Arabidopsis thaliana: one gene and its partners. The protein of the gene in region 3 interacts with the protein of the main gene of each other region in a pairwise test. Each region holds a gene or a part of one and is shown on either strand. Other genes may lie near its edges. The genes, in order: PRMT4B, AT3G21215, AT3G22440 and PAR1.

Region 1 (7,175 bases), 5.8 Mb from region 3:
GTTAATATGTATCAAGAAAATGAACCCGAGGCACACTTGTGAGAGAGCTGTCATCAAACCTGGTTACCGTGCAACTAGAGGATGGGTAAGAACCATCTTGAAAGAGAAGTTGAAAGCCTTCCCAGACTACAAGCCCAAGGATATCGCTGAGGACATAAAGAAAGAGTATGGTATTCAGTTGAATTACTCACAGGCATGGAGGGCAAAAGAGATTGCCCGAGAGCAGCTACAGGGTTCTTATAAAGAGGCGTATAGTCAACTTCCCCTAATCTGTGAGAAGATCAAGGAGACAAATCCTGGCAGTATTGCCACTTTCATGACAAAAGAAGATTCGAGCTTCCATCGTCTTTTCATATCATTCTATGCTTCAATATCTGGGTTTAAACAAGGTTCCCGCCCTCTCCTGTTCCTTGACAACGCTATCTTAAACTCAAAATACCAAGGGGTTATGCTTGTTGCAACAGCTTCTGACGCTGAAGATGGCATATTTCCAGTAGCCTTTGCTATTGTGGATTCAGAGACAGAGGAGAACTGGCTTTGGTTTTTGGAACAACTCAAAACTGCGTTGTCTGAGTCGCGAATAATCACTTTTGTTGCAGATTTCCAGAATGGTCTGAAGAATGCGATAGCGCAGGTCTTTGAAAAAGACGCACATCATGCATACTGTCTAGGCCAGCTTGCTGAAAAACTAAATGTGGACTTGAAGGGGCAGTTTTCCCATGAAGCAAGACGGTATATGCTCAACGATTTCTACTCTGTGGCATATGCAACAACACCCGTGGGTTATTACCTTGCCTTGGAGAATATAAAAAGCATATCTCCTGATGCTTACAACTGGGTTATAGAAAGTGAACCACACCATTGGGCAAATGCGCTGTTCCAAGGAGAGAGATATAACAAGATGAACTCAAACTTTGGGAAAGACTTCTACAGCTGGGTTTCTGAAGCACATGAGTTTCCCATTACCCAAATGATTGACGAATTTCGAGCAAAGATGATGCAATCTATTTATACCAGGCAGGTTAAATCCCGGGAATGGGTCACAACTCTAACACCATCTAACGAAGAGAAGCTACAGAAAGAAATAGAACTTGCGCAATTACTTCAGGTTTCATCGCCAGAAGGGAGCTTATTCCAGGTTAATGGAGGAGAATCTTCGGTCAGTATAGTTGATATCAATCAGTGTGATTGTGACTGCAAGACCTGGCGGCTAACTGGGTTACCTTGTAGCCATGCAATTGCCGTGATTGGATGCATAGAGAAAAGCCCGTATGAGTATTGCTCTACGTACTTAACAGTTGAGAGTCACCGGTTAATGTATGCAGAGTCGATTCAACCTGTCCCAAACATGGACAGGATGATGCTGGATGATCCGCCGGAGGGGTTAGTTTGCGTGACTCCTCCACCCACACGGAGGACACCGGGAAGACCAAAGATAAAGAAGGTTGAGCCGTTGGACATGATGAAACGTCAGCTACAGTGTAGCAAGTGCAAGGGACTAGGACATAACAAGAAAACATGCAAAGCTACTTAGTTGTTAGGATGTTTTGGTTAGTTTAAAGTAGTAGATGATTTTGGATCTCTTCTCTTCTTGTGTGATGAAGAATAAAGATCTCGTTCGTTTTCAGATCAAAGCGAGCTTTTTTTTCTTCGCAGAACTTGTTGGTTGATGTATGACATTCACATTCGAACTTTTTGATCTATGAAATTGGTTTAAGAATTAATAAATGTAACTTACAATCCTATCCCATAATCATAGTAAAAATTACGAAAATGCCACCGTTTCATTACTCCTTTTGGCGGCTTTAACTCTTCTCCCTCTCAGAGAGTTCGGAAACTCTCAGCAGAAAAACCCTAAAATTCTTAAGCTTCGTTTACACACACATACAGAGACTGTATCTGTACATTCGCATCGTTTTGTAAAAATGGAGGTATCTTCTGTGAAAAAGCTTGAGCAGCTGGAGTACTCTTTAGAGTCAGTCACTGATCTCTCTTCGTCTTCCGTTTCGTCGTCCTCTCCAGCTGTAGCTACGTTTTCCTACGTTGATGGAGTCACGGAGCTCCGATTTCTGCAATCGGATTCGACCCATTGTTTCAATTTTGATCTCGCTTCCGCTCAGGTGAATGTCGATTCACATGCTTATGTTACTGTTCCGCTGGTTCTTATCGGTTTTGATTATTTTTTCCCATCTCGTTTAAAACGTTTGTTTTTGCTACATGAAGATGACGAAACTCTGTTATTTTTCTGTAACTAATCTGAGATTGAAGATGGTTTTCATACTAATTTTTACAATTGACGATATATTTTAATTCTGAAAGTTTGAATTTTGGTAAAACTTGTTTTGCTTATGTTTTATAATCTTATTGGGTCTTGTTGTATCTGAGAATGCGTGCATTGATCGTATTATATCTTTGTCAATGTTTTTCCCCTCAGTTATTCAAGTTGGGGCCAGTCCATTTCATCTGTGTATCTGATGGTTCAAGTTCTTCAGAGGAGGTACGTTATGTTTGAGTACTTGGGAGCAGGATCAATTTCTTTAGTTATTCTTTAAAGTGAATATCTTGTCTCGCCTTCTTTATTAATCCACTTTTCTTCATAATGAAATGATTTTGTGAAACAGAAATCATTCTCCAAAGGAGTCAATATAAAATTCAAAAATGAGAAGGATAGCAAGGATTTTTGTGAGTCCTTTGAAGAGTGGAGAAATGATTCTGTTGTTCAAGGTGCGCCATTGTATCAATTTACTTTCTTGGAGGTGTTATAGCATGAATGCCTTATGTTTGCTTTTCTTCTGGCTTTTAATTAAGAAAGTATTGAAGCCCCATTATAGAATAGTTTTATGAAAATCTATGTTTTTTTCTCAGACTGTAAAGAACCAATTTCTCTCTGTGGCTACTTGTGCATTCACTGTCATTGCCCATTTCAAAATCTATGCATAATATTATTGCATACTCCTTTACTGTCTTCTCACTTTTCCGTTTCTAGGATCATCCTTGCAAAATGGAACAGTTTCAGCTAATAAAAGCAAGTTCGACAATAAGATAGAGGCGTCATCGGCAAAAATGTATTTTCATTATTATGGACAACTTCTACATCAGCAAAATATGCTACAAGATTATGTGCGGACAGGTAAAATATCTGGCCTCAATGTGTTGTTTGTTTCAAAACTGTTCCAGTTTTCTTGATTTTAAACGATTCAAACCCATCATACGAATATCTTCTGTTTTCTTCTCACCGCTGTTTGTCTTGGAATAACTATTTATGAACCTCATTCATGTCTTCAGGTACGTACTATGCCGCAGTCATGGAGAATCATTCAGATTTTGCTGGTCGTGTTGTGGTCGATGTGGGTGCTGGGAGTGGCATTTTGTCAATGTTTGCGGCCCAGGTATTTAATATTTAGGCTATAGGTTACAGAACTAAGACTTTGCTATGGTCAAACAAGAAGAGGTTGATAGATAGGCAGAGCTTTATCTGTAAAGCTAGACTATGAATAAAGAAAGCTTGTTTATTGCGAAGTCCTCAATATAGTTTTACAAATACATCTCTGACTCGAACCTCTCCTTGCCTTAATCCACCGAATTGGTGATCCATAAATGCAAAAGGTAGTAATGCCAAAGTAAATGTGAACTACTTTCTAGTTATGTCTCGGTGTGAGCGGCTGACATAGCTATCAGATGGTTATGGTACTTATGAATTTTTGCTTCATCTTCTTCATACATATCTTTATTTTCTGCTATATTAGGCTGGTGCCAAACATGTGTATGCGGTTGAAGCATCAGAAATGGCTGAGTATGCTCGTAAGCTGATTGCTGGAAACCCATTATTCGCTGACCGAATCACAGTAAGACTTCTAATTCAATTTGGTCAGTATATAGAGTTGTGTTATATGCATTTGTCTGATGTTGTTGAAGCTTGCACAAGTGTAGGTCATCAAGGGTAAAGTTGAGGATATCGAGTTGCCTGAGAAAGCAGATATTTTGATTTCTGAACCGATGGGTATGTATCTCAGAGACGTACTTTTTTTTTTGTGCGTCTTTTTCCTTTGAAAATTACAAAACTTGGAATCTTTAGACCAGAAAAAACCTTGGTCAGAGAAAAATATGCGTAAAAACATCACTAGTGATTGAAAGTTCCATTAATCATTTGAATGACAAGTCTTATGTTTTAAATCAGGCACCTTATTGGTCAACGAGAGAATGTTAGAATCGTATGTAATTGCTAGGGATCGTTTTATGACTCCAAAAGGCAAAATGTTTCCCACTGTCGGAAGGTAAAGGCAACCTTTGAGAGCCTTTCCTTATTTAATTTCTTACTATGTCTTCACTCTCATGTAGTTTTATCACTGTAGGATTCACATGGCACCTTTTTCTGATGAATTCTTATTTATTGAGATGGCAAATAAGGTACGGAATGCAACTGGTTATTCTAAGAATTACTTCCCAGAATTTTTTCCAAAATATGCTGGTTTAGTTCAGTTTTTCTATGAAGTCTTAAGCATTCAATAATATACATTCCTCCTCTATGCAGGCTATGTTTTGGCAACAGCAGAACTATTATGGAGTTGATCTGACACCTCTATATGGATCAGCGCACCAAGGTTATTTTTCTCAGGTATATTCACACACAACATAATCGAAATATGTATTCACACACAACATAATCGAAATATGTATTTGCACCAACTAACATATTGGTTATTCTCAACATAACGGGTATTGATGAATCATTATCTATGGATTTTACAGCCCGTGGTTGATGCATTTGATCCGAGATTATTAGTGGCTTCTCCGATGTTCCACATGATAGATTTCACTCAAATGAAGGTATACATACACTAGTTAAGACTGTTCCTCAGCGTTCCATTATGTCAAGAAATTTGATCTTTCATGGTGGGGTGAATGACTTACAATCTCATTTTACCCCTGAATTCGTTTCCCTAGGAAGAAGATTTTTACGAGATTGATATCCCGTTGAAGTTCACTGCTTCCATGTGCACCAGAATGCATGGACTTGCCTGCTGGTTTGACGTTCTCTTTGACGGGAGGTAACTCTTGCTTTTTATTCTTCTTCATTCAAAACTTTTCATCTTCATGTTTCTCTTTGCAATTGAAGATTTATATTTCAAACTCGTTTTACTCTATTTTCAACAGCACGGTCCAAAGATGGCTCACAACTGCTCCCGGTGCACCTACAACGCATTGGTACCAAATCAGATGTGTTCTCTCGCAGCCTATTTACGTAATGGCAGGTCAAGAGATCACTGGTAGACTTCATTTGATAGCCCACAGTGCTCAGAGTTACACCATAGATCTAACTTTATCAGGTGCAGTTTGCTTCTTCTTTTTTTCTGTGTTTTCGTCATTTGAAAGCACCATGAACCAACTTTCAACTTCTTTTCCTGATCTGATAACAAAATGGGTTTTTAACAGCTAAAATGTGGGGGCCCGGTGCAAGTCAAGGCGGAATTCTCCAATCATCGACATGCAAATTCGATCTGAAAGAACCTTATTATAGAATGTCTCAGCCACAAGCATACCCTGTTGCACAAGAACCACCTCTACAACCACAACCAGAGCTAAGTACACAGGTAAAAATGCATTCAGCAACTAGAATAGGTATGGTTGCTTTCTTTTTATATGTGTACCAATATATATGCATTTACTCTTAGCAGGACATACAAACACCAAACGATGAATTAGAAGAAGAGTTACTGCAACAATTGCCACAGAACCCAAGTGCCCAGCTCTAAAAGCTAATAAGTGAAATGAAGGTGAGAGATGATAATTGGGATCTTTGAATCTCAGTCATATTTTGAGCTTGGGATTTCTGTTTGTAACGTCAAAAAGGTAAAAAAAATGTTTCTGGTGTCTTTATGAGTTTTGGTATGGAAAGATCAAAATGATGAGCATGGAAAGATCTTATCATTCCCATTGCTTCCATGGAAAAGTCTCTGCTTCTTTGTGTATTTCTTTTCACACCCAACTTATCAATTATTTACGTTATCTTTAAAAGCCACACGCAATGTAAACAATGAATCAAGAATCGAGTTCATTTATCAGAAAAACATGTCTTTCTAAATTGAGTTCTATGGTTTGATAAAATGATAGTTTTACTCGAGCAAGAATCGTAAGAGAACTTTATCAATGGAAACAGACGTAGAACATATTATTAAAGTCAAAAGGTGAGCAAAAGATGAATTTGAAGGAGGTTATCTCGTCTCTATCAAACTCGTGTAGTTTCAGTGTATGTAAGACAGAGCAAAACAGACACTTTCTTATGAAATTCACTTCAAATCACAATCTCCTTAAAGATTCCTGCTTTCACTGAATAAGAGGCTGGCTCTTGAGTCACAGAAATTACAACCTTCGTGATGAATAAGAGCTCATACCGAAGTCGACATATAGACCGAGCAATAGTCTCCTTTCAAATCCTGCAAAAATGGCAATGATAAGAATCGGAAGGTGCAGGTCCAACATAAGGAAGAACGCAGAAGATTCATCTGGATGGGGAAGTTACCATGAAGGTTCTGGTAAATGATACAAACGAAGAAGGGAAACAGAAGTAATTATCTGGTGTTTATTGAGCATATTTCCAGTGAAGAACACCCATCTTTCTCGATCTGTGAACACTGACAGATGTCAAACAAACATTGCCCTCTCCAGAAAACTTGGGATACTTGTGCTTCAGAATGCTCACTTAACTGAAATCAGACATAACCCAAAATGTCTTGGTTTTCCTATACAAGAAACGAGATTATCGATAAACTGTCTACCAAGATCGGGCAGCATGCCGTGCCTTTCCCGTTTCCCTCAAAACAGCTCCCACAATAGCTGCTTGCTCAAGACAATCATTCTTATGCAAAGTATCCAAAAGAACAACACAGGTTTTGTTATGGATAGGTAATCCTCTTCGACGTGTTTCCTCAAAAAGAGAAAAAGCATCCATTGCCCTGTTTCCGTTACTTAGACCTTCGATCATGGCATTATAACAAGCAGAGTCTGGAACACCACCGTTTGCCTTGAACCGATCGAAGAGCGCCCCAGCCTCTGCAATATTCCCAGCCTTTGCAAGTCCTGATATCATGGTGGTGTAAGAAATAGTACTGGGTTTCATCCCCTGTTTCTGCATCTCCTGCCAAAAGACAAAGGCTTTATTGAACTTCCTGACCTTA
Region 2 (6,833 bases), 520 kb from region 3:
AAAAAATAACGCAGTAGGCACTAGGGTAGCCTTTGTAATGTTCACAAGACGGAAACTAGAAAACCATAAAGAGAATTAAAGGAAGAAGCTTTATTAATGAGAATTATCCAATGAAAGATCCTCCATTTACTTCCTTATATAAACAATAATATAAGCAAATCCAGCTAAAATCACTCTTAAACCATAAGAATTCTTCTTGTCTATTTTTTTGTTTCCATTTCTAGCAAAACATTCTTCATTACCCATAAGACAAATCAAGCTTAGCAGCATAAGATAAAGACTCAATAAACCCTAACCACAAACTGAGTTTCTTCCTGACGACTCATACCCCAATCACAAACCACATTGTTCTTCTACTCTTCTCATTATCTTTGCTTGGGGTATGCAAAACTTATGGAAAAATGTCAGGAAAAACTACGAAAAATTGAAAAACAAGAAAGACGAAAATGGTAGAAACACTAAGAGGCAGAAGGAAGAGGACGAGGCGGCGGCAACATTTGACGGAGATTAGGACCACCGGTAGCTTTAAGTATGAAAGGATGCTGCAAAAGCTGTTGAGCTGACCATCTCTTAGGAGGATCACTCTGTAAACAACAAGAAACAAAGTGACGAAACTCCTGAGACGCCGTAGCCGGAGCTTCAGGTGGCTGAGACATACAAATAGCACACATAAGACTAGCCCAATCACCTTGTCTACTCACAGCAAAAGGAAACCTCCCCAAGTAAAACTCCAAGATACTAACACCTAAACTCCAAACATCTCCAGCATAACCATCGTAACGACCATGATTCAAATCAGTATTAATCCTCTCAGGACTCATATAAGCAATAGTACCAACAGATGAATTACAAGGATCCATTGTTTGTGCCAAGATCCTACTCACACCAAAATCAGCAATTTTCACATTTTTAGCTGAGTTTATAAGAAGATTCGAAGGTTTGATATCACGATGAACGATATGACGACGATGAAGATAAGCTAATCCACTAAGAATCTGACGAGAGAGATCAGCTAATTCCTGTTCTTGCCATATATGAGCTCCTTCAAGAGATCCTTGATCCATAAACTCAAGCAAAACCTGGATCTCACCGTTATGATCAAACATATCGTGACATTTCACAACGTTTGGATGATCAACACTTCTTAAGATCTCGATCTCTCTACAGATCTGACGTCTCACGGTATCTTCGTGGTTTCCGTAAATCACTTTGAGAGCGAAAGGACGTGACGTCGGAGTGTGGATTACTTTGTAAACCGTTCCTCCGGCTCCGCTTCCGATTCGGTTCACTCGTTCTAGCTCGGATAAGCTTTTAGCGGCGGAGATGTTGGTTGAGATCGCGGAGGAAGACGCCGGAGCGGATGAAGAGGAAGAAGGAGGTGGGAGAGGGAGAGGTACGGCGAGAGCGACGTCGCGGTGTGGGAGTGGTAAGCTTAGGTCAGGACGTTTGCGTAAACGGTTCTTCATAGGTGAAGCTACTCCAGAAGGAGATTGAATCGGTTTCATGGCTTTTAGAAGAAGAGGGAATCAAAAGTTTTTTTTTTTTTTCACAAGGTTGATTCTTTATCTTCCAGGTTTGTATTTATCATCATGATTGACTTGACTCTAGGGTTTGTTTGATTCGTCGTTTTTCAAAGAGATCAAATCAAGAGGAGAATGAAGCTTCATCGAAGAGATTTGTGAAAATGATTGTAAGAAACAAGAAAAAAAAAAAAAGTTAAAATGGTAAGACGAAGGTACGCGTTGATGGAAAGAGCGTGGAATACACTCGCACTTGTGTGGCTCTGTGTTGTTACACGTTAACCATGTTTTTTGTTTGGTCGGGTCTGAATTGGATTATAATATCATTAAGAGTGTTTAAGATCGTGGATTTAGATACTATAAATTTGGTGTTAGGTATTTAATATTTTTAGAAAGTAAGAAAATACAGATTAAAGTTTCTTTCCAATAAAAACAATTGAAAAAAGAAAAACTTAAAGTAATTATAATTCTAAAAAAATTAAAAACTAATTTTCTTTTTAAAGTTTTTAACAGAAAAAGAAAGAAATAAAATTAAAGTGGTACAGTGTTCACGTGCGATGCATGTGACTTAAAAAATAAGTTTGCCTTCTTTGCCGTCAATTCTTCCGCAGAAGTTTTTTCGAACAATCAATCTCTGACTCTCTGAGTAATTAGGTTTTTTTTTTATCTCATGGCCGGCGCCGGAATCCACCCATACCACCAGCAGTGGCCGCCGGCAGGTGCGCCGCCTCCTCCAGCCGCAGTATCATCAGCTGCTCCACCACATCCGCCGCCCATTCATCACCATCCTCCTCCTCCTCCTGTTTTAGTTGACAACCATAATCGTCCTCCTTATGACGAGGTTCAACTCTTTCTCTTTCTCTCTATACATATCGGTGATTCTTGTGCTGTGTTGTCGAGATGGGCTTGCTTGATTTTTGTTTACGTTGAGGTTTTAATTTGCCTGCTTTTTGATATACAATGTTAGCTTGATTTTGCTACGGAATCGATAAATTGTCCAAAGTTATGACCTTTTTGATAAGAATGATTTTTAAGTTTGTTACTAAAATCTCACTTATGACCTGTTGCATAAGTGAGAAAGGTTCTCTTATCTTGTCATGTAGTTGGAGTTTTCTGATTTTGGGAAAACGTGATCTCTTACACAAGTTTGAATCTGTTGTTCAGCTGCGGACAATCTTCATCGCAGGGCTTCCCGATGATGTAAAAGAGAGAGAGCTTTTGAATCTCTTGAGATGGTTGCCTGGTTACGAGGCTTCTCAGGTGAACTTCAAGGGAGAAAAGCCCATGGGGTTTGCTCTTTTCTCCACAGCTCAGTTTGCAATGGCAGCCAAAGATACCCTTCAGGTCTGTCTGCTTCTGATCATTGTTGACTCAGATCCTTTTTTGTCTTCACATTATGACATATGTTGTTCTTGGCATGCAGCATATGGTGTTTGATGCTGAGTCAAAGTCTGTGATACATACAGAGATGGCCAAGAAGAATCTTTTTGTTAAAAGAGGTTAGCTCTACCTTTATGACATAAAATGGCTGTATTTTATCTATCTTAAGCATTAGTCATGTTACTGAAGCATGTTTGATACAGTTTTGTGCATTTATACGGGGTCTCACTACACTCTCCCCTTTATCTAGTTTCTTACTTCCTTTGTTAATATCACAAACCATATATAACCTTTGAACTCAATCTTTATTCTGTAGGTATTGTTGGGGATTCAAATGCTTATGATCAAAGTAAGCGCCTACGAACTGGTGGTGACTGCACACACTCTGTGTATAGTCCATCTCCTTTCCATCCTCCACCTCCTCCTGTGTGGGGACCTCCTCATGGGTTAGGCATTTGCTTCTCCTTCATATTTCATATGCTGTGTAGAAATTGGACGATGTGTATTTGGTACACCGTTTTATGTTAAGTTGCTTATTTGACAAGAAGATAAATTGGTTCAGATATATGGCACCTGCACCTCCACCATATGATCCCTATGCAGGTTATCATGCTCCCCCTGTACCAATGCCTACGCCCCCACCTATAGCAGCTCCTAGTTCTTATGTGCCTGTCCAGGTGAAGTTGCACTGTTTTCATCATTTTATTTATCATATGGTGGTTGTGCAATTATATACCCGGAATCCATATTGTACTTGCCTCTCCTTGCCTAAAAATTACAATCTCGAACTTCATTCTAATTAGCTTACATGCTATACTCTCTGGTGGTTGTGTTGTGGAACAATAGTTGTTGCCTAATTTAAATGCATTGTCTACTGCTCTGAATTTGCTAAAGTTTCTGATTGTTTGATAAATTTTGTACCTAGTTTGATGAATATCTAGCCTAGGTTTGGTGATCTGATATATGTCTCATGTTGTTTTCAAATTTTTTTCAATTGCAGAATATTAAGGATAATCCACCTTGCAATACCCTATTTATTGGTAATCTTGGGGAGAATATAAACGAAGAAGAATTGAGGAGCCTGTTGAGTGCGTGAGTATCTGTTCCCTTTAGTGAGACTCCTGTCCATTGCTTTCCTTGAGATCTTGGCCTTTTTGTAGACCTGTGTTCTCAAGAATTCTGCGGTAAACTGTACTTTCATTTTGCAGGCAACCTGGTTTCAAACAAATGAAGATTCTGAGACAAGAAAGGCATACAGTTTGCTTTATTGAATTCGAGGTTAACTCTGAGACCTTCACCATCTGTGTATATGTGACAGAAAATATTCTTCTAGCATATTGTTAAATTCTTCTATCTGGACTTGCAGGATGTCAATAGTGCCACAAATGTTCACCATAATTTGCAAGGTGCTGTCATTCCAAGTTCTGGTTCAATTGGCATGAGGATCCAATATCCTTATATACTTTTACTCTTTCTGATTATTTAATATTCCAGTATGCCAAGTTCTTTTTTCTTTTCTGTTTGATTCTTCTTAACCCAATGATACATATTCAAAGAATCCATATGGGAAGAGAAAGGAAGGTGGCGGCTATTCTTTCTTTCCTTCTCCGAGTGCTAATGGAGCCCAAGGAGCCCTGACATATCAGTAGGCCTTGAAGGGGGACGTACTCTCTTCCTTATCTCCCAACAACTGCACGAATACGATGCATCTTCCAGGCAGTCTGCATTTCATCCATTTCCATTCTCGACATTTTTAAGCATCAGCATTGCTTTGTCATGTGTTGGGTGCATATAGTGTGACCTCATCAACATATAACATGTTTCAGTTTCTATTAGCTCTGCTACATGCATTCGCAGTGTGGTTTTTGATGATTGTTTGAATTATATAGGAGTTTGGTTTGCTATTTGTTTATCTTATTGCGGCTTTAATACATCACTTTGTGGGATTCATTTTCATCATTCTGATCGATTCATCCTAATGAAACGTTAGCTAGGAAAAAACATAACATTACATTAGATCATAACATGATAACATCCGGAGGCCTTCCATCAACTTCGTTTCACTGCATGGACACGGAATGTTGCTCTCATGATTGATTCATCCTAACGAAACTCCATTTGCTATGTTAGCTGATATACCATTACATTAGATCATAACATGATAACATCCAGAGGGGTTTGATCAACTTCGTTTCACTGCATAGACATGGAATATTACTCTCATGATCTATCACATCGGTTTCATTCTTCAGCATTTCCCATGTCGATCATTCTCTGTTCTTACTTAGGCTGATGAACAAGCACATCCGTTTTGTCAGAAGTTGACAGCTGATATAACATTTGAAGATAGGCATTCCATTACATTGTAGGTTTATTATAGTTGAGCAAACATATATACATTCCCAGCTCTGGCTTGGCCTTATGCAGGGACAATCCGTAAAGAGAAAGCCCAAGCTCTCGAATAGAGATGCGTTTCACCTACAAAGTTGAGGTAAGGTCATCTTCGGACGTCCAGGAACAGAGCCAGGAGTTCCTAAGAGCCTATCTTTTTACAATGGAGTCTACTTATCCAATCCAACTTATCTCTTTTCTAACTGATGTTTCTGTACGGCTTTGGGCTACTTGACTCTGGATGTGAAAACCAGAAGCGAATTTAGTGATTCTTCAAATGAGAAAGTTTCTCTTCCATTTTCAAGAACAATGTGTGTATAATTGGTCGCTTACTTATCAGATTTTGAGGTATAGGATCTCTAGGGCCTAGTTTCATGTTTTGTTTCTCTGAATTCGAACCATGGTAAATTTGCTGTAAAGAGAGGTAGGTAATATAATTAACCCAAGAGACAACCCAAGAAGAATCGATAAAGGAGTGTCTCAACTCTCAAGTAAGAAACATGTTTTCATTATTATGATTGGCGAGTCTCAAGCTTTCATCACTGTAGACAACAAAGAAAAAGATTTGTTGCACAAAAGGGTTTGTGCATTCCTTAGACCAACTTTCCAGAGAAGCAAAACATCTAAAACCACAAAACCATGGTCTTAAAAGAAAATTCTTAAACGTCAGGTGTGTCTGAGCGCAGAACTGTCAAGAAAAACAAGATAAAGAGTTGGGAGGTTAATAAAAAGAAGAAAAAAAATATAAAACGGAACTGAGAGGTAAAAGATTGAAACCCCTCTTCAAGTTGTTCAAGTAAAGATCATCAAGCAAAAGGTAGAGATGTCGATCAAATTGGTGGAACAAACGCACGGAGAGGGAGGAGAATCGTGAGTAACGTGCCTGGTTTCTGAGGCTTTCCATCGGACCATTTTGGAGAGGGAGAAGTGAACCTTGTCGCGATTGATTGTTTCAGCTTTGAATGGTTCTTTGAGACGGATATACGCCGTCCCCATACTCGTTCTCAGCCCATTTTAGGCCTTTCTGAATTAGGCCCAAATACGTTTACGTGTTTTTAGAGGAAAACTTTCAACGTGCATGTCAAAGACAAATTGTTTGTTTATTTTCTCATCAAGCAAGACAGAGACTACTATTTTGCTTTTTTTAAAAGAAAACGATGTAGCATTTTCCTTGTCGAGAAGCTAAGGAAACCTGACAAAAATGCAAGGGATAACAAACGCATTAACCAAAGTATAATTTTTTACAAGCAAAGAAACATTTGCACAAAACCCATAAATATAAACCTCATTATCCCATAATTAGCAATGCTGCATAACACATAATTTAAAAACCCTAAGAAAAAAATCGGAAGTTTGTGGAAGCAAGAAGAAGAAATGATGAATCCAGAATCCGATCATCCTTCATCTCCTCGTCAACGTAAGATTGGAATCGCCGTGGAGCTCTCTGAAGAAAGTGCCTTCACTGTTCGTTGGGCTGTTGATAACTACATCCGTCAGGGAGACGACATCATTATTCTACACGTCTCTCCAACCGCCGGTCTC
Region 3 (5,687 bases):
TGAAGTCTTGGTCTCTTTGATCCTTCGATTCAGTGTTCATATTGCATAGTCTAATATCGGTTGAACCTGATATATACAAGTTCTCTTTACCAACATCCTTAGAAGTATATTGTGATAGTTGCTTGATGCTTTTGATGTCCCTGTTGATTCTCCTACGTTCGTTTCTTCTTTCCTTGTTCTATCTCATCCTTTCGAATAGTGGTTCCTGCTTGTTCTTTAGGCTTTAGCCAGCCTATGGAAATGAGAATATTGAACCAACCAAACAATGTTGCCATAGTGCCATTGTATTGATGATGTCTATGACATTGAGTTATTGTTTTTGTTTGCACTCTGGTAGTAGCTTTATGTATTTGGTCACCTTAGATTGGTGACAACAATGGTGGTGTTTAGTTTAAGCTAGCTATCTTCTTTGAATAAAAAAAAATAAAAAAAAAATTATAAATTGGTATGAAAACAAAAATAAACATTAGATAAGAGGACTTGTATTTTGTGGGGGCTTTTGGTAACCACTATATAAATTTTGTTTTGTCTTTGTTTATAACTCTTTAATTGACAAGTTAGGTATAAAGTGTTTTGACGATTTTTTCCCCTCTACTTTCTTGTGTTCTGATAAACTTTATTACATGTCTTCATTCAAATCTTTGGTTCGCTCTGGCTTACCAATTTACACGTTTTGTTAAAGGAAGTTTGATCAGCTTCGGTTTAGGCCGTGTGATTAAGAATTTAAGATAAACCTTAACACTTATGAAAGTAATCAAGCACTATCCGGTAGTGAAAGTTAATATAACATATAGGATTATAGTTTGGCCAATATCATAACAACTAGGATATAATTTTATGAATGTACAATATGCAGGACAAAGTACTTTGTATCTTTTGATAGAGTTACATGCACTATAAGAGAATTAAACATATTAGAAAAAAGACTAGATTATGTAAAATGTCATAATCATATTACTATAAGACTAGCTAGACTGAGGTCAAATCAATGCATAAATTTAAATCATTATCTCTTTTGAATTCGATTATCTCCCTCACATTTTTCAAATTTCTCTACTCACTTTTTCTATAAAGCGGAAACAGTAATCGGCGGTTCATATGTAGTCGGCCATTACGGACCCATTTAATTAGATAAATTATTCTTAGCCGTCAGTTTCATATTTCGTCTCATTCTAATTTTGTAATGTTTCTCTAACCTTTTTGTAACTATAAAATCATACTCTAATAGCAAGAGGTCTAAAAGAGTAATGGATATTTCCCCTCAATAATGTGTTATATGTCACTGTCCCGTTTTAACATTTTGTACATATCAACAGAAAAAAGTTTTTATGATATATCCATTCCACTGATGTCAAAAAAGCAATAGCTTTAATAAAACCAAATTCAAAATTTCGTTTTTATTCTATTCTTCTGTTTTGATATCACAAAGATATTAAAAACATAGTACGAAGATTAGTTTTATATGTGTACTAATGAATCTTCTTTGTGGTTGCTTCATTATCACGTTTTAACATTTGTCACGCGTGCCCTGATTTCATTACAGCCTTTTCTACAAAACACATGCATTGTTCTTCTTCTTACATTACTACATTACACTACACAAAGAATTTCATATTAATTATAACAACATTTTTTTTTTTTTGCTATACTATATAGTTTTTTGTTATTCAATTGGTATTTTACCGGCAATGCTTCACTGGTTTCCGACTCAACGCATGTGGTGGTCAGTGGGCTTGGCCCACTTATCTCTTTCACCTTTTTTTTTCTTTATACGAAAAATTAAAGCAAAGCTATAGTAATAGTACTTATTATTATTACCACGTCATCACCCAACTCTCTTATACTACGCATATCACGCTAAGCTACGCGTCGACGGCGCAATATAGAAGAATATGTAATAATCGCGCCTTTAATCAGACTCCACTGAGACGTGTCGCTATTTCGAGTTGTCCACGTCACTGTTTCTTTTGTCTCTTATCTTCTTCTTCGTCTCTTTACTTTTTTCCCATTTCTAGGGTTTCTTCAATTTCACTCTCTCTCTTGAGTTTATTCTTCTCTGCTGTATCAATCAAATCAACGGAGTTTGAGTTTCTTTTCCGATTCCGGCGATGGGGTCAGTCCCCGATCCAGGCGAGTTAACTGAGTTAGCTCAGCCGAGTTTCGAGGAGTTTCAGAAACAGACGTCGTTGATGACTAGCTGTACTCTTCTATGGCAAGAGCTCTCCGATCACTTCACTTCTCTAGAGCAGAATCTGATGAAGAAATCTGAAGCGTTGAAGCAGATGATTGAAACTCTAGATAACCAGACTCAGACCTCGCTCGAGTCTCTGAAGCGTAGAGAGGTAACAATCGACCATAGCGTTGAGATCGTAGCTGGGAAAGTAGGTGAACGAGCTAGAGCTGCTCTTGAATCGTTAGAGAAAGCTAGAGATGGTTGTGGTGATGGTTCTAATGATGATTCCGGTGATGTTGACGATGAAGAAGGTCTTCTTTCTGCTTTGAAATCTCTTTGTCTTAAAATGGATGCGAGAGGTTTTTGGAACTTTGTGACGGCGAGGAAGAAGGAGTTGGAGAATCTCCGGTCAAAGATTCCGGCGGCGTTGGTTGATTGTGTAGATCCGGCGATGTTAGTGCTTGAAGCGATATCTGAGGTTTTTCCGGTGGATACAAGAGGAGATAAAGTTAGCAATGATTATGGATGGGCTTGTGTTGTGATTCTTGAGAGTTTAACACCTGTAATTGTTGATCCAGTGATTGGGAAATCGAGGTTGCTTGTTACTCCGAGTGTTAAGGAGAAAGCTAAGGAGATTGCTGAGACGTGGAAGAAGAGTTTGGAAGAGAGAGGAAGGATAGAGAATGTGAAGACTCCTGATGTTCATACGTTTTTGCAGCATCTTGTTACATTTGGAATTGTTAAAAGTGAAGATCTTGCTTTGTATAGAAAGCTTGTTGTTGGATCTGCGTGGCGTAAACAGATGCCTAAGCTTGCGGTTTCTGTTGGTTTGGGTGATCAAATGCCTGGTAATCCTCTTAAGCTCTTATCTTCTACCTATTAGTTTTTTATCCTGGCATGCTCATTGTAACTTGTGAGATCATATATGGTTTTGAAATTGGCTAGTTTACTAATAGTTTAACCCATCTAGATGTATAGTTTTGGTAGGTTACAAATAGTTTACGAGTTGATTAGTCGAATATTAAGTTTGTGTGGCAAACATTGTATGGCATAGATTGTGGTGAAGTCTGAGACATTAGTGGTACAAGGTGTTATTGACCACAGACTGTGTGAAGTTGAAGCCTTTTTCTCTGTATCTCGTTTTATAATATCTGAACTTACAAGTTGTTGCGCTGTCCACAGACATGATTGAAGAATTAATCAGCAGGGGACAACAGCTTGATGCTGTTCATTTTACTTATGAAGTTGGGCTTGTGGATAAGTTCCCTCCTGTTCCTTTGCTCAAAGCTTATCTAAGGGACGCAAAGAAGTCAGCAGCTTCTATCATGGAGGACTCTAGCAATACTGGCCGAGCTACGGTATCTACTCATTGCATCTACTCATTTCTATCGCAGCTAAATATTTTTATCTGTGCGTCCCTGAAAGTTAATATCTTCCTTGTTATGTTTTCTTCCTAAGCATCTCGTGGCGCGCAAGGAGCAATCAGCACTTAAGGCGGTTTTAAAATGCATAGAAGAGTACAAACTCGAGGAAGAGTTCCCTCCAGAGAACCTCAAGAAACGGTTGGATCAGCTAGAGAAGACCAAAACCGAGAAGAGAAAGCCAGCAGCTGTTCCTGCCAACAAAAGAACCCGAGCCAGCTACAACGGTCCAATGCCACCAGCCAAAGCCGGGCGTATCACAAACGCATACGTCTCTTCCTTCCCGTTCATCAGATCACCCTCTCACTCTCCTCAATACGCTTCACCAGCAGCTTACCCATCCCCACCTACAACAGTCTACAGCAACAGAAGCCCACCTTATCCATACTCTCCGGAGATCATCCCAGGCTCATACCAAGGCTCTCCTATCGGTTACCCAGCGTACAACGGTTATTGTAATGGTCCAGTTCCTGCTCCAGCTCCTCCAGTTTACCACCCACACCATCATCAACACCACCAATTCCACCATCAGCAACATTACTACTGAATTAGAAGACAGTGTGACAACAAAACAAGGAAGAAGATTGGTAATAACCAACAAATCACTGATACTGTGACAACTGCTACTACTCTGGTGTTCTCTCTCTCTGGGTCTATTGTCTTCCTACGTCGTCGTTTTTGTCTGTAATATCTCTTTCTCAGCCTAACTCTCTTAGTAACTTAGCTTATATCCTCTGGTGTGTTTATTATTAATCGCATATAAAACAAAACTCAAGCTTTTGTAATGTCTAATATTCAGTCAACAAACTTATATTTCTGTACTCTGTTAATCGAATGACAAACTTCTCTTCGTCACCAACTATCTCCGATCAAATCTAACATCGGAGGTCGTTGCTTTGAAGACATACCCACCAGTTCTCTGTTGAATTGCATTTCTTCTTCATTGAGCAAAGTGGTGATTCAATTTCGGTACAAGACACAAAGCCAGTGGTGAGAAATTTCTCTTTACCAACCTTGCACACCAGATGTTCGACGATATGTCTCTTTGAAATCTTACCGTTTAGTTTTCACGTGCGTTTTCAGAATTGGTCTCTTTTCCTTCAATGGCTTTGATGGTTTTGAGAAGAAAGTGTCTCCGTTTGCCAGATTTTATCTCCGTTTTTCGACCTGCACCGCGTTGCTTCTCCTCGAGATTTTCCAACAGTGAAAGTGGTAAAGTTACAGTGACTGGTTTGAGTGGTTGTGGTATAGAAACTGTGGATGATGATGTTTGGCATGTTTCATCATCTTTATCCCAAGCTTGGAGACAGTTCCAAGCAGACACTGCAAAAAACTCTCCCGTTACAATACAAGGAGTAAGAGAAACAATACTCGATGATGAAGATCCCGATCACGATGAAATCGATAACATGAGAATTCGCGGTGATCTTTTCTTCAAGCTCGATCGAGGTTCAAAAGAATTCGAGGAATACAACTATGACTTCCACCGCAAGAATCAACACAAGAACGCTAAAAAGGAGCAAAACCAAGAAGAAGAAACAAAGATAAAGAAGGATAACAAGAAGGAAGTTCGTGACGAATACAAGAAGAGAAATGACTCTTTCACAGGTGAGACGGATCATCCTAATGAAGCTGTGAAGAAGAGAGAAAGAACATTTACGTTTAACCAACTCACGGCGCCATTTCACTACCCGTTTTGCTTAGACATATACATCTCGAAAGAGTCTGTACGAGCATGTGTGATTCACAGGGTGACTAGTAAGGTTGTAACTGTGGCTCATTCGATTTCAAAAGACATGAAATTCGATCTTGGTTCGAGAAGAAACGTTGCAGCTTGCGCTGCGGTTGGGGCAGTTCTTGCTCAAAGAAGTTTGGAAGATGACATACATGATGTTATATACACTCCTAGGAAAGGAGATAAAATTGAAGGTAAGCTTCAGGTCGTGCTTCAAGCTCTTATTGACAATGGTGTTAATGTTAAAGTGAAGCTTAAGCAGAGGAAACTTAAGAAGAAGACTAGTCATCTAATGATGGCCTAGAGGACTGAAATTTTCTAGTTTGTAATATGGGCCCAGAAGATATGTTTCTGTGTG
Region 4 (4,441 bases), on a different chromosome or scaffold from region 3:
ACCTGTGTGGCCCATATCTCCAGCCTTTATAGAAAAAAAGAGAAGATAACTAATTAACTTCCCTTGATTTGGAGTTTTTTAGCTAAACATTACATATTTTCTTTCTTAATCTTCCCCTTTCTTAATTCTTAAAAAAACATATACTGTCTTGTCTTTAACCAAACTCTTCTCTTTTATTTTTGTGGCAACAAAAATAAATAGTGAAAGGGAATCATCTCAAACTCCTCCTAGATATAAATATTTAGGTTTTCGTCATTAAATAAAAGTTATTTTGGAAAAAATAGAAACAACGAACAAGATACAAAAGGACATAGAATTGATTATTCCAAGACGACGAATGTGAAAGCTGGCTAAAAGCTAAAATTAAATTTCGAGTGTGTTATTTTTGTAACATATTTAATGTAAGTGCAAATACATAAATAAATAGATACTAGAATTGGGGAGAGTGTCAGTTTGGTAGATGGTGAAATGCGAAAGGCACCCGATTTTTGTAAATCTCAATCCCGAGAAACCAAACCCTCCTTCGTCCCCTCTTTGGAAACATCATCTCTTTCTTTATTTCTCTCTTCCATCTTCTTCTTCTTCTAAAACAACATCTTAACAATTTTTAGTATTACTAAAAACCCTAGACGTAAAAGAAATGTGTTATTCTGTTCCTGATCTTTGTCTTAATTAAGACCATACATTATTTCTTTTAATTAGATGTCAATCATTATTCTTTACTAAATTTTTTTTCTTGAGTAGATTTAGGTTAATTTGCAATCTTGGATTAAAGACCTACAAAAATGCAATTGTTTTTTTTTAATGCAATTATTTTTTATTAAGTCTTTATCTAGTTTTTATATCATATAGTTGACAAAAGAAATGCACCGGAGGGCTCATTTATGGAACCAACATTAAGTAAGATTTACTATAACGGTTTTATGTATAAAAGATGTATATTATAAAGATCTCTAGCTAGAAACATGTAACACTATATTCGAATCCAATAACACTAAACTTCCTTGGCTTTCTTCTTGTTATATAGTGGCCATTTCTCTAACATTATAGATATATTGAGATTGTTGTTTTTACGTGGTAAGAAATATGGGATGTTAATTGGAGTTTCTTTTAATAAGAAAAAGGAGTTGACAAAAAAAAAATGAAGGACAGATTTAGGAGGTCACTGAGGTGGGGGGGACCCAAAAAAGGGTTGACACGTGGCCACCATGCCCGATAGATATCATGTGGATCTTAGTAGGATTAGGTCCTCAATTGTACGAACAAGTTCACTATCTCTTAGAGGATCTATTTGATCTCATCCATCTAATAATAATACTATATTACAGTCTGTACATAATGTATAGAGAGGAGGAAGCACATGGGAATGGGGCTTTGAAGATGGAGATATTCATGTGACCCGCACATGTCCTCTCCTCTCTCTTCCTTGTTCCCATGCAAGTAGTGTCTCACTGTATCCTTCTTCTTTTCCTTCCTTATCTCCACGCGCGTGGTCGTTTTCATTTCGTCCGTACTACGTAATTACGACAAAACTTACTCTTATACCATCAGGCATTAGTCCATTACCAGGCACCACCCGAATGGCCTATAAGCATAAGTGCATAACTATAGGGTTTGTCGTCGTCTACTTGAATTTTTCTTTTGGAAATTTAAGCTCACATAAAATAGTTTATACTCTTTATTCTTGTTGTAGAAAATAAGACTGGTAACTATGCAAAACAACGTATAGCAGCTATTACATTTATGGCTAAACCAGATCACAAACCATTTAGAGTTTAAATTAAAGTTCGAATAATATTTTAGCAAGTAATCCGGCTTGATAAATAAATGAGACACTTGCTAAAAGTAATCCGGCTTGTATTAACAACGCATATCCTAATACAATAATAAAGCATTGTTGTATAATTAGTTAATTACTATGTCAAACGTCTAGCTCTTAAACAAACAAATTTAACGTGCCAAATCTCATTTATCAAACAAACAAAAAAATCCAATCTAGATGCGAGGTTGATCCACTTAAGTGAGTGATGAGTCCACTAAAGTCTAAACCAGTCGACATGGCGCGTGAAAGCTCTTCTTCTAAAGATCCAAATCTGTGGAAGCAACCAAAGTAAGAGATAATTAAATAAATCTCCACAATCCGAAACACGAGGATAATAAAATTAAAAATAACGCACAACTGGACCCAGCTTTGATGGCAATACCGCTCATTTAACCATTTCCCAATTTCTAAATGTAGAATTTATTTTATATCGTTTCAATTTTTACATCGTTTTTTATAGACAAACCAAACCAAAATTCGTTCATAACCGAACCTTTCACTAATGTAAGCAAACAATGTAACATAAAGCATAGCAAACCAAATCAAACCGATAGAGTATTGTCTCTAAACTCGCAACAAACCAAAATAAAATCAGGTTGAACCGACCACATTTCAACATTTTTGTCTACTAAATCCATCATCACTCATATATATATATATAACACACACAGTTACACATATCCACATTCCTTACTTGTTCATTATTCTCTCAGACTCATCATTCATCTCTCTCTTTCTTTCAATGGAAGAAACTCTAGCCACTCCCGACGCCACGAGACGCTCTCTGTCACCGTCATGCTCAGCCACCGTGAAATCACGCGCCGCTGGTTTCGAGCGCAGAACCAAACGGAGATTGTCAGAGACTAACGCAAGCGTACGTGAAGACCGAGAAGAAGCAGAAGAAGAAGAAGATGAGGTCAAGGAAAAGATTGAGGCGTTGCAGAGGATTATCCCCGGAGGAGCGGCGCTTGGTGTGGACGCGCTCTTCGAAGAGACAGCTGGTTACATTCTGTCTCTACAATGTCAGATCAAAACCATTAAAGTCCTTACTTCGTTTCTTCAACGCATAGATCAAGAAGACATGAAGTTCGGAGGTTGAAGATTATCACACCAAGACTGCTCTTCTTTCTTCGATTCCTAAAAACAAAAAAAAACGTTTTTTTTTTTCAAATCTTTTATTTCCTTTTTTATAACATGGGATTTTAGCTTTGATATATGAGGAAAGAGACTCAACATTTTTTTCTTCGAATTTTTTTTTTCTTTAGTAGGAGTATAATCTTTAATTTTAATGTTCTGATTTATTTATTAAGCCGTTTCACGGTTATGAGAAGTGTTCATTAACGAAAATTAGCATTAATTAATGTAGTTATATAACTTATTTTAGTAGGACGCCATATAGTATAGATATTAAATTGGATCACGAGGTTTCACTTGCATATGAGATTTGACATTAATGATATTGAGAAAGTTAATGTTACGTGGCCCATTTTTAAATCTGGATGAGCTCATTTCACATGCTTTATTATAACAAAGATTTCCAAAGTCGGTCGATATTTATTTAAGCTTATGATGAACTTACTAGATTTGAGTTCCCGTGGTCCAACAATAGAGTTCATGTATATTCCTTGTACATACATATACAAGACAAATCTTTTTAGTCGTGTAAGTACTAGAGCTAGCATCTACACAGAAATTTAAACACATTTGCCGCTAGAAAAAAAACAATATCAGTTTTAGTATTCATTATAACGTAATTTCTGACCCACAACAATGCAGCTATATCGAACTCTATGGAACTATTTACTCCACACATAGCGGAAAGTCGGGGAAGATATAATTTTCTTACCAACCCTATCTACTCTCTATCCAAATTACATTACAAAGATGAATTTAAGGTTGAACATCGTATAGTACGAAGTTGTAATCAATAATGTTAACTTCAACATCCTTTACCAAACCAAAATTTAAAATAAAAACCATTGATAGATTATAACTAATCACATCCTGTATGGGCTAAAAGCCTAAAAGATTACGATTCCACATGTTTTTTGATTGCCTTAGTTATGTTATAATTGGGCTTAACATAACTGGGCCTGAACCCATTAAACACTAAGAGGTCCGTACAAAAAAGGATTCGCGGCAATATTGTCAAGTGTCAACTACCCTCGGAACGACTTCTTCACTAAAAGTTAAAACTTAAAACCCTAAATCATTTTTTTCTGGTGAATTGAAATAGAATTCTATTTCAAGGAATTGGAGAAGAAGAAGCAAGAATTGACACGGGATAATCTGGAATTGAAGGAGGAGGGTGAGATTACTGAGAGAGATTGAGGAGATGAGAAGTCTGGAAGTGGAGATGAAGCAGAGGTGTGGAGAGATGGAGATTGAGATGAAGCAAATAGAAGAAGAGAAGAAGGTTTTAGAATCTATATCGACGGGAGCTGTGGAGCTTGAGAGTGAGTATTCAGGATGATCTTATCACTGCGTTGAGCGGCGAGATGAGACGGTGACAGAGGTGGCTGAATTGAAGAAATGGTTAATGGAGAAAGGTGATAGCTTTGAGAGTTATGAGAAGGAAGTAGAGAGTTTGACGAAAGTGAGAAGTGATATTGAGAAGAG

Evidence for each region.
Region 1: the proteins of AT3G22440 (region 3) and PRMT4B interact in a two-hybrid assay, tested with the Arabidopsis thaliana proteins (one large-scale study listed by BioGRID).
Region 2: the proteins of AT3G22440 (region 3) and AT3G21215 interact in a two-hybrid assay, tested with the Arabidopsis thaliana proteins (one large-scale study listed by BioGRID).
Region 4: the proteins of AT3G22440 (region 3) and PAR1 interact in a two-hybrid assay, tested with the Arabidopsis thaliana proteins (one large-scale study listed by BioGRID).

The regions. Positions count from the first base shown.
Region 1 is NC_003074.8:2,184,047-2,191,221, reverse strand, and holds PRMT4B (protein arginine methyltransferase 4B), read left to right. Parts: upstream 1-1,834; 5' UTR 1,835-1,925; coding exon 1,926-2,120; intron 2,121-2,434; coding exon 2,435-2,497; intron 2,498-2,621; coding exon 2,622-2,724; intron 2,725-2,986; coding exon 2,987-3,130; intron 3,131-3,285; coding exon 3,286-3,389; intron 3,390-3,746; coding exon 3,747-3,845; intron 3,846-3,930; coding exon 3,931-4,000; intron 4,001-4,177; coding exon 4,178-4,274; intron 4,275-4,352; coding exon 4,353-4,407; intron 4,408-4,531; coding exon 4,532-4,615; intron 4,616-4,749; coding exon 4,750-4,827; intron 4,828-4,944; coding exon 4,945-5,048; intron 5,049-5,154; coding exon 5,155-5,327; intron 5,328-5,433; coding exon 5,434-5,591; intron 5,592-5,672; coding exon 5,673-5,753; 3' UTR 5,754-6,079; downstream 6,080-7,175. Other genes in the region: AT3G06920 (Tetratricopeptide repeat (TPR)-like superfamily protein), read right to left, coding at 6,773-7,175. UniProt on the Arabidopsis thaliana protein: Methylates (mono- and asymmetric dimethylation) the guanidino nitrogens of arginyl residues in several proteins involved in DNA packaging, transcription regulation, and mRNA stability.
Region 2 is NC_003074.8:7,440,589-7,447,421, reverse strand, and holds AT3G21215 (RNA-binding (RRM/RBD/RNP motifs) family protein), read left to right. Parts: upstream 1-2,109; 5' UTR 2,110-2,190; coding exon 2,191-2,361; intron 2,362-2,684; coding exon 2,685-2,864; intron 2,865-2,943; coding exon 2,944-3,019; intron 3,020-3,216; coding exon 3,217-3,346; intron 3,347-3,462; coding exon 3,463-3,577; intron 3,578-3,900; coding exon 3,901-3,992; intron 3,993-4,108; coding exon 4,109-4,178; intron 4,179-4,266; coding exon 4,267-4,349; coding exon of another isoform or gene 4,350-4,386; exon of another isoform or gene 4,387-4,446; coding exon 4,447-4,549; 3' UTR 4,550-5,971; downstream 5,972-6,833. Other genes in the region: MKK5 (MAP kinase kinase 5), read right to left, coding at 459-1,505; AT3G21210 (zinc ion binding protein), read left to right, coding at 6,666-6,833.
Region 3 is NC_003074.8:7,957,746-7,963,432, forward strand, and holds AT3G22440 (FRIGIDA-like protein), read left to right. Parts: upstream 1-2,007; 5' UTR 2,008-2,108; coding exon 2,109-3,021; intron 3,022-3,355; coding exon 3,356-3,531; intron 3,532-3,631; coding exon 3,632-4,141; 3' UTR 4,142-4,626; downstream 4,627-5,687. Other genes in the region: AT3G22436 (uncharacterized protein), read right to left, coding at 153-275; AT3G22450 (Ribosomal L18p/L5e family protein), read left to right, coding at 4,698-5,633.
Region 4 is NC_003071.7:17,835,311-17,839,751, reverse strand, and holds PAR1 (phy rapidly regulated 1), read left to right. Parts: upstream 1-2,133; 5' UTR 2,134-2,564; coding exon 2,565-2,921; 3' UTR 2,922-3,336; downstream 3,337-4,441. Other genes in the region: AT2G42865 (uncharacterized protein), read left to right, coding at 4,158-4,238, 4,314-4,441. UniProt on the Arabidopsis thaliana protein: Atypical bHLH transcription factor that acts as a negative regulator of a variety of shade avoidance syndrome (SAS) responses, including seedling elongation and photosynthetic pigment accumulation.